2 linked regions of the Drosophila melanogaster genome follow. The gene in region 1 interacts genetically with each later gene. Each region holds a gene or a part of one and is shown on either strand. Other genes may lie near its edges.

Region 1 (3,926 bases):
CGACACTGATAACGGGAGATAAAGGGATTCTGAAAGCGACAAATCACGAATGTAAACAATGCTGCCGTCGATAGACGATTGCAATCGGTGTATCGCTGTTAACACACAGCGTTGCCGTTACGATAAACATTGTCCAATTAGAAATGGTTTTTTGAAAATTGAATAATGTGCAATAGTTCATTAAGAGAACAAGATATTATTATCACCGTATTACCTCAAAAATGTTTCATAGCGCTGTTGAAAACGTTTTTTACAAGTATAAATATAATAAGCTTGCTACATTTGAACTTTTTTCAATTTTCTTGAGTAGTCCTATTCTGTAAGTCTTATTATAAACTTTTTTGTTTTTATGTGGCTCACCTTTGGAATTATATTGTTTATTAAACATCTTTTCAGGCCCTTCGTACAATGAAGTCCGAAATCGGCAAGGCGTCACACCGCCTCAACCTTTTCACTTCCGAGATCATGCACTTTATCCACCAAATGCAGTACTATGTGCTATTTGAGGTCATCGAGTGCAACTGGGTGGAGCTACAGAAGAAGATGCAGAAGGCTACTACGTTGGACGAAATCCTGGAAGCTCACGAGAAGTTTCTGCAAACGATTTTGGTGGGCTGTTTTGTCAGCAACAAAGCGAGTGTGGAGCATTCGCTGGAGGTGGTGTACGAGAACATTATCGAATTGGAGAAGTGGCAGTCGAGCTTTTACAAGGACTGCTTTAAGGAGCTAAATGCCCGCAAGGAACTGTCCAAAATTGTGGAGAAATCGGAAAAGAAGGGTGTCTACGGACTGACCAACAAGATGATCCTGCAGCGCGACCAGGAGGCGAAGATATTTGCCGAAAAGATGGACATCGCCTGCCGCGGCTTAGAAGTCATAGCAACCGATTACGAAAAGGCTGTCAGCACTTTCCTAATGTCTCTCAACTCTAGCGACGATCCGAATTTGCAGCTCTTTGGCACTCGGCTGGACTTCAACGAGTACTACAAGAAGAGGGACACCAATTTGAGCAAACCCCTGACCTTCGAGCACATGCGCATGAGCAATGTGTTCGCCGTGAACAGTCGCTTCGTGATATGTACGCCGTCCACTCAGGAATAGCGACCAATGTCCATGCAATCGGTTTATCCCAGTGTCCATACATCATACCAAATCCCAAATCCCATACAGCATCAGCACTCCATTCAGTTCAATTGCTGCTAAATATTTGAGATATCTCGATATCATTGGAGCCAATCCAACCAAACAAACTAATCCAATTATTAACTAAGCCTTCGAATCGAAAACAACCTCTATACATATATATCTCAAGCTTTGCCGTCAATCGCCTGGCTGCAAGCCATCAACTTAAGATATCTCCAATACAAAATTATTGAGTAGTTGTAACGAAAGTATTAAGCGACAATTTGTTTGTCGAAAAACGCAACGTTCTATTTTGTTTGCGAATCCCATAATTTTTTTTACATCGAAGCTTAGTTGAAATAGATTTTCGTAAGTGCATTTGCCAATTGCCATGTTGTAATTAAAGAGAATAAGAGAATGTTACGTACTTTAAAAGAATGTTTTAAAAAAGTTAATGTTTTGAACAGTTTTAAACCGTAATGCGAGCTCGAAATAAACGCAACTTGCATTGAAAGTTTCCGTCTCTATTTAATTATTATAAATTACAAAAATTTGGGTTATAAGAGTGTAATAGTTATTTATTCAATTATTGTAAATGCGTATAAAAAGAAAGCCGAAATATTCAGTTATTTATATTATTTCCTTCTCACTCTCACTCAAACTTTCTGATCTCAAAACGGTTTTGTAATCGAATGCGCAGCGAGTTATCGACAGTCCACGAAGCGGTTAACATTTCACCGCTAGCGAGTGCAGCCACCTACTATTCAGCGTAGCCAACCACCAACGTGCAGCAAACATCGATAGTATCGATTAAACACAAATTTGCGTACCACCTCTAGTTTGCGAGCGTATTAAAGTTAAAAAAAAAACGAAAACAAATCGGAAAAAGACGGAAGTGAGTGCTTTGTGCTGCCGCCGGTGATGTGCTGAAATCGCTTCGCCAAAATAGCCCAATTTCCCAATCGAGACACCGATTGCAAATCAAAGTAACGCCACGGAGTGCAGCAAAAAGAAAAACAAAAACAACAGCAACTGCAAACATGGCACTGAAAAAAGTGAAGGGTAACTTTTTCGAGCGTATGTTTGATAAAAACCTCACCGATTTGGTGCGCGGCATTAGGAACAACAAGGATAATGAGGTAAGCGTGCAGCCCCGCCTCCACCGCCCACCAAAACAGCTGTCCTCCAACTGCCACGCCCCCCCCAAGCGGCCCAGCTGTGCGTCCAATTAGAACTCGCTAATTGGCTGACAAATTTCGTTTGCATTAAGGGAATCTTATTAGAGTTTGGTGTGCTTGCATGTGTGCGTGTGTGTGTGTGTGGGTGAAAGTGGCTGTGTGTTTGTGTGTGTGAATGTTTTGGCATCTGCCAACAGTGCAAAAGGAAAAGCAGGAAAAGCTTGAAAAGAACCACAAAACCGAACGCAGAAACTCCCAACGCACCAAATTAATTAGCAAGTGGCTTTTATCAAATATTTACCCACGTTAATTCCCCCGCCGTTGGTCTTTTTATTCGGTCCTTATCAGAATGCTTGGCAGGATCGGCTAACGGTACTTGAGTTTTCACACGGAGAGAAAATTGCGTGTGATTTGCAAAAATAAAATTGTAGCTTCATTTGCTTCGATTGTTAGTAATTGCAAATATTAATGCAATAAAAATAATAATAAATAAATTGCCAAAAAATCAGTTTCCATCCAGTTATGGTTTGCATATCGTGCAACAAGAACAATTGAGAAATAAGAATATATGCAAGAATAACTAAGTTTGTCTACGTAAACAAAAAAATAAGTGGCTCTTGATTGAATTCGATTTCTATATCTTCCACTGCGCATTTCGATTGTTATTTTTGCTCTTGTGTGGTCCACTGTAAGCGCTGATTTACAAATGTGCTTAAAATTATAGCATTCATTCGTTTCAGTAAGATAAAAAAATAAATATTAATTGAAAATTGTGCATTTTTAATCTCAACTAAATGTTACTCATCAGCTAGCGCAGTTTCCATATAACTTTTCATGTAAACAACTTAAGGCGGCCATTATATTTCCATTTTGTACAGCACAAATGAAGAGTAAACAATCAAACTTTGTATATTTACATTCGATTTTATTAACAACTGCATCGGAATTAATGCAACAACACTATTATTCTACCCGCCACTGTATGATTTGGAATTTGTGTTTTTCTTTATTTTTGTTCTATTGCTGTGGGCATAAAACTGATAGCCCCACGACGATTCTCAGATATGTTTGTTGTTTTACTCTGCGCTGCCATTGCACATTTCGCATTTTCACATACTATATTTCGAATATAAACATATTGATTGACAATAACTTTCTCCGCAGGCCAAATACATATCGACGTGCATTGAGGAGATCAAACAGGAGCTGCGACAGGACAATATAAGTGTCAAGTGTAATGCAGTGGCCAAGTTGACCTACGTAAGTTGAATCTTGGAATCCTTAAACCAAAGACGCACCACAGATGATTAACTCACTATTTGCGAACAATGATGAGGGACTTTTAAAATTTATAGGGGTGTTTTAAAATGGTTAATTAGACAATCGCAAATGTGCTGTTCAAAAATAAGCTGATTATACGCACCGACAGCCCAAAGAGGATTCAGGATTCCCCTTCATTAGAATCATCAGTGCAGATGATTGCGTGTGCATGGATGTGCACCGGATTCTGGTGGCAGCCATTCAAAGTCGACCAAGTGCATGGCTGCACTTGATGCAAATTGCCTGGCGGCCGGTCGGTATATATGGGGGGTCCTTGTAGGCAAGTGCGACAATAAGGACTAAAAC
Region 2 (3,926 bases), on another chromosome or scaffold:
CAGCTTGACGTTCTTGTTGACAATCAGTCCCTCCAGATGCTTCACCACTTCGGCGGCCTTGTCGCCCAGTGGCTTGCCGTGCCAGTTGTCCAAATCCTCGATGTTGGGGAAGTCCCTGCCCTTGAACGTCTTTGCAATGATGGCGGTGGGCTTGTTCTTGGTGATTGCAGCACAATGGAAAGCCTTGCTCAATTCCTCGACATCATGACCATCGACAACGACGGCATTAAAGCCGAAGGCCTCCAGACGATCACGGTAAACATCCAGCTTATGCTGCAGGGAGGTGGCCTCCGACTGGCCCAAGCGGTTCACATCAAAGATCACGCAAAGGTTGTCCAGTTTATAGTGGCCGGCAAAGTGCAGCGACTCCCAGATGGAACCCTCGGCGGACTCACCATCACCCACCACCACGTAGGTGCGGTAGTCGGCCTTGTCGAAGTTCTTGCCCACATAGGCCATGCCAGCGCCGACGGCGACACCCTGTCCCAGGGATCCAGTGCCCACATCGATGAAGTTCAGACGAGGCGTCGGGTGACCCTCCAGATCGCTGTCGATCTTGCGCAGGTTGTTCAGATCCGCGATGGGGAAGAGACCAGCCTCAGCCCAGGCGGCATACAGAATGGGAGCAGCGTGTCCTTTGGACAGGATGAAGCGATCGCTGGAGGGATCGCGTGGGTGCTTCAGGTTCAGGCGCAGCTGCTGGAAGAACAGCACGGACATGATCTCAGCGATCGAGGCACATGATGTGGGATGGCTATAAAGAGGGAAAAGTAGGCAAAATATTAGATTGTGACAAGGCATTTCGTTTGCATGTAGTTCTAGGTTAAGGTAAGTGCCTAATGAATTATAGAAGTCGACCTCACGGTGGGTAAGTGAAGGCCGATCAACAAAGGAAAAGTGGAACTGAACACTGTGCATACTTGTTAAAAACGTTGTTTAATAAAAGAAATCCATTTGTCTATTGAAGCTTTTATTTAAACCCCCCCCCCCCCCTCTGTTCATATTTCAAATGAAGATTTCTCGAGTATCCAATTGCAATGTACATATAAATAAGATAAGATCCATTCTTGGAATTCAATGTTCCCATGCGATCGTGTTCCAAAAAAAATTGCTTTGAATCGCAGATCTGGCACAACTCCAACCGCAAAGAAAACACGCAACCCCAGACAAAATGGGGGGCTCGTCTTACCCCAGACATATAAATAAACTATAACGAGTACATGCATATGTATTTATTGGCGTTATATGGTGTGATATGTGTGTTTGTCGCGACGTGAGTCCATCGCAATTCCTCACCGGTTTCTGGGACCTTGAACTTTTCTGATCACCAAAAAACCTAAATAATAGCCTTAAAAACCAAATTCTTGGCTTCCACGATTGTGTTGCATGGCGATCTTTGTGAACGCACGTGCTTCTAGATAGTTCCGAAGTGCGTCCCCGTTTCCTGCAGCCATATCAAGAACTATTGAAGGTGATACGGAGTGTTAGCAGTGACCCGGCGCGCTTTTTTTTTTTTTATCAGTTTTCAGTGATTTTCGATTATCATGCGGGGAACACACTTGAGCTGGTCACCTCTAATCGGTCATATCGTGGTCAATGAGTAACCAAACCGGGCTTATCTCGTCGGCAGAGGTCACATTTAGAGCAAACAGAGCAGATCTTATCTTGAACCGTCACAAAAAAAAAAAAAAACGAAACAGAATGGAAAAACTAATGGAGGCGATAAAAGTGTTTTCCTTATCAGCATAGTAACTTTTTTATTTACTGTTGCAGTAATAATTTGATCGCGTCTATCCGAGATATAATTACATTAAAAGCCATACAGTCGTAAATCTCAAGTGTAGGGGATCATTCCATTACTATTCTCATCCCTCTCTTTCCAATTCCACTCCCGTCACAAGCTGTGCTTTCCAACACTTGTATGTACATATGTACATACGTATATTAAATGCCTCTGTTTGATATGTAAGTATGTTTGTTTTTACCCCATGTACATATGTATGTGCTTTCGGCGTTTTGAACGCCACGCACAAAACAAAAGCAAAAGAAATTAAAAGGCAGTAAGAAAAACCTAACGTTTCAAGGTTGTCTAAGGTCAAAAAATATTAGCTCACAATTTAAGGTAGGTGAACGCGGCTTATCACTGAGCACGCAGGCAGGGCAACAAATTCGCAAATTCACTAAAGCTACTGGACAACACGTGGGTTGGCAACTGAATCCCAGGAGGGGTCACTAAAGGAACCGGTCTTCCCATATTTTACTTCTCACATTCATACAAACATAGATGCATAACTATGTATATGCGTAACTATTTTTGTTTTATTTTCTTTTGTAATGTTTCAAAACACATACATATGTATGTATGTATTTAGCAGCCCCCTCAAAAACTTTTTCGCACCCACCCTGGAAATGGAGGGGGTCACCTTTGAAGCAACAAGTGCAAGGTGCACAACTTTTAAAATTCACATCTACACAAACAAATCTAAATACGCACACTTTAATATGCCTATGGACTTTCAGTTATTGATAAACTTACCCCGATTTGGAGGCCTGGGTGGCGTTGATAGAGTGAATTCGCAGTTTCTGGGCCAGATCTTTCAGATCCTGGACGGTCTTAGCTTCGGGCTTGTGGTACGACATCTTTGAAATGCGAATGTAAATTGGATCCGAACAAATGCGGTTTTTGATATGTTGCACAACAAAACTCGGGAGTTTCGGATTCGTTAGCCAAAGGGTGACTCCTCTATGTTTGCAATAGACAGACAAGAGTATCGACGTGGTGGATAAGTAGCTCGAGTCGGAGTTATCAACGGACCACTGCTGCCGGCTTCTGGGAACGAACTGCTCTCGTCGCCGGCACTTCGGTCGCTTTTACGCTGTGGGGGCTCAATCTTGGGAGCGGACTCGCAAAGTATCGGTATCGTCTATCGTCGGCGCTGGAACGAGATGGATATATGTATAAATATGGCATCTTTGCTCGCACACCACCCCTTTATCGGTGCACAGCTGTGGGTGGGTAACTAGTTAGTTTCAAATAGTGCATTGCTGCCTTTCTAAATTCATGCACAATTTTGGTCTAAAATTAAGCCATGAACAGTTGTACCTGAATATTTTCTCATTAAGATTTACAATGCTTTAGTATTTAATATAAGTTTACAAGAATTTAAGGTCCTATTTTTCTGGCCGCGAGTATTAAAGAGCAGCGGTGTTTAAGAGAAGTGCCCTCTCTTTTTGTCACTTTCCCCACCTCGCTCCTGAACAAAAGGTGAATTAGCCGCAAGCGAATTTAACCTTCGATAGCTCAGTTGGTAGAGCGGTGGACTGTAGTTGGAAAAACATGCAATAGAAATCCATAGGTCGCTGGTTCAAATCCGGCTCGAAGGATCGAAAAGATATAAATACCTTTTTTTTATATATTTTGTAGTGCACATACCTTTTTTTTTATATATTTTGTAGTGCACAATTTAAATCAATTTAATTCATCTACAGACATTCAGAATATAACTGAGCTGTTTAAACTAAATAATATAAGAAGGATTTTATTTGGAAGAAATAAACCGTAACTAAATTGATATAGTTTGTGAAAAGCGCCTAGGCTATTAGGCTTGGAAACTATAGGCTTACTGCAATGGACTGAATAGAGAAAGTTGATCAATTTTGTTTGACCTAAATAAGTAAAAATCAAAAATAAATAACCAAATACGGTGCATTTCGTTTGTGCGCATGCATAAAACGAACAACGGCCAAGTTTGAACTCAACCTTCGATAGCTCAGTTGGTAGAGCGGTGGACTGTAGTTGGAAAATTATGCAATAGAAATCCATAGGTCGCTGGTTCAAATCCGGCTCGAAGGATTTTTTGTAATTTTTTGTAATATCCAATTCGTTTTTGTTTTTATAGTAGCACCCGTACCCCATAAAAAATATA

What was found.
Region 2: of g (region 1) and p, changing one enhances a phenotype caused by changing the other (phenotypic enhancement), as found in Drosophila melanogaster (one study listed by BioGRID).

What each region holds. Positions count from the first base shown.
Region 1 is NC_004354.4:13,734,277-13,738,202, reverse strand, and holds the start of g (garnet), read left to right. Parts: upstream 1-1,924; 5' UTR 1,925-2,162; coding exon 2,163-2,261; intron 2,262-2,513; exon of another isoform or gene 2,514-2,672; intron 2,673-3,464; coding exon 3,465-3,560; intron 3,561-3,926. Other genes in the region: Grip91 (Gamma-tubulin ring protein 91), read left to right, coding at 397-1,101. UniProt on the Drosophila melanogaster protein: Part of the AP-3 complex, an adapter-related complex which is not clathrin-associated. The complex is associated with the Golgi region as well as more peripheral structures.
Region 2 is NT_033777.3:8,668,539-8,672,464, reverse strand, and holds the start of p (pink), read left to right. Parts: upstream 1-1,780; 5' UTR 1,781-1,965; intron 1,966-2,536; coding exon of another isoform or gene 2,537-2,640; exon of another isoform or gene 2,641-2,936; intron 2,937-3,290; exon of another isoform or gene 3,291-3,384; intron 3,385-3,759; exon of another isoform or gene 3,760-3,853; intron 3,854-3,926. Other genes in the region: CG8036 (uncharacterized protein), read right to left, coding at 1-754, 2,537-2,640. UniProt on the Drosophila melanogaster protein: Has a role in the biogenesis of eye pigment granules. Eye pigment granules are specialized forms of late endosomes or lysosomes. Biogenesis of pigment granules in the eye requires molecular components required for protein delivery to lysosomes.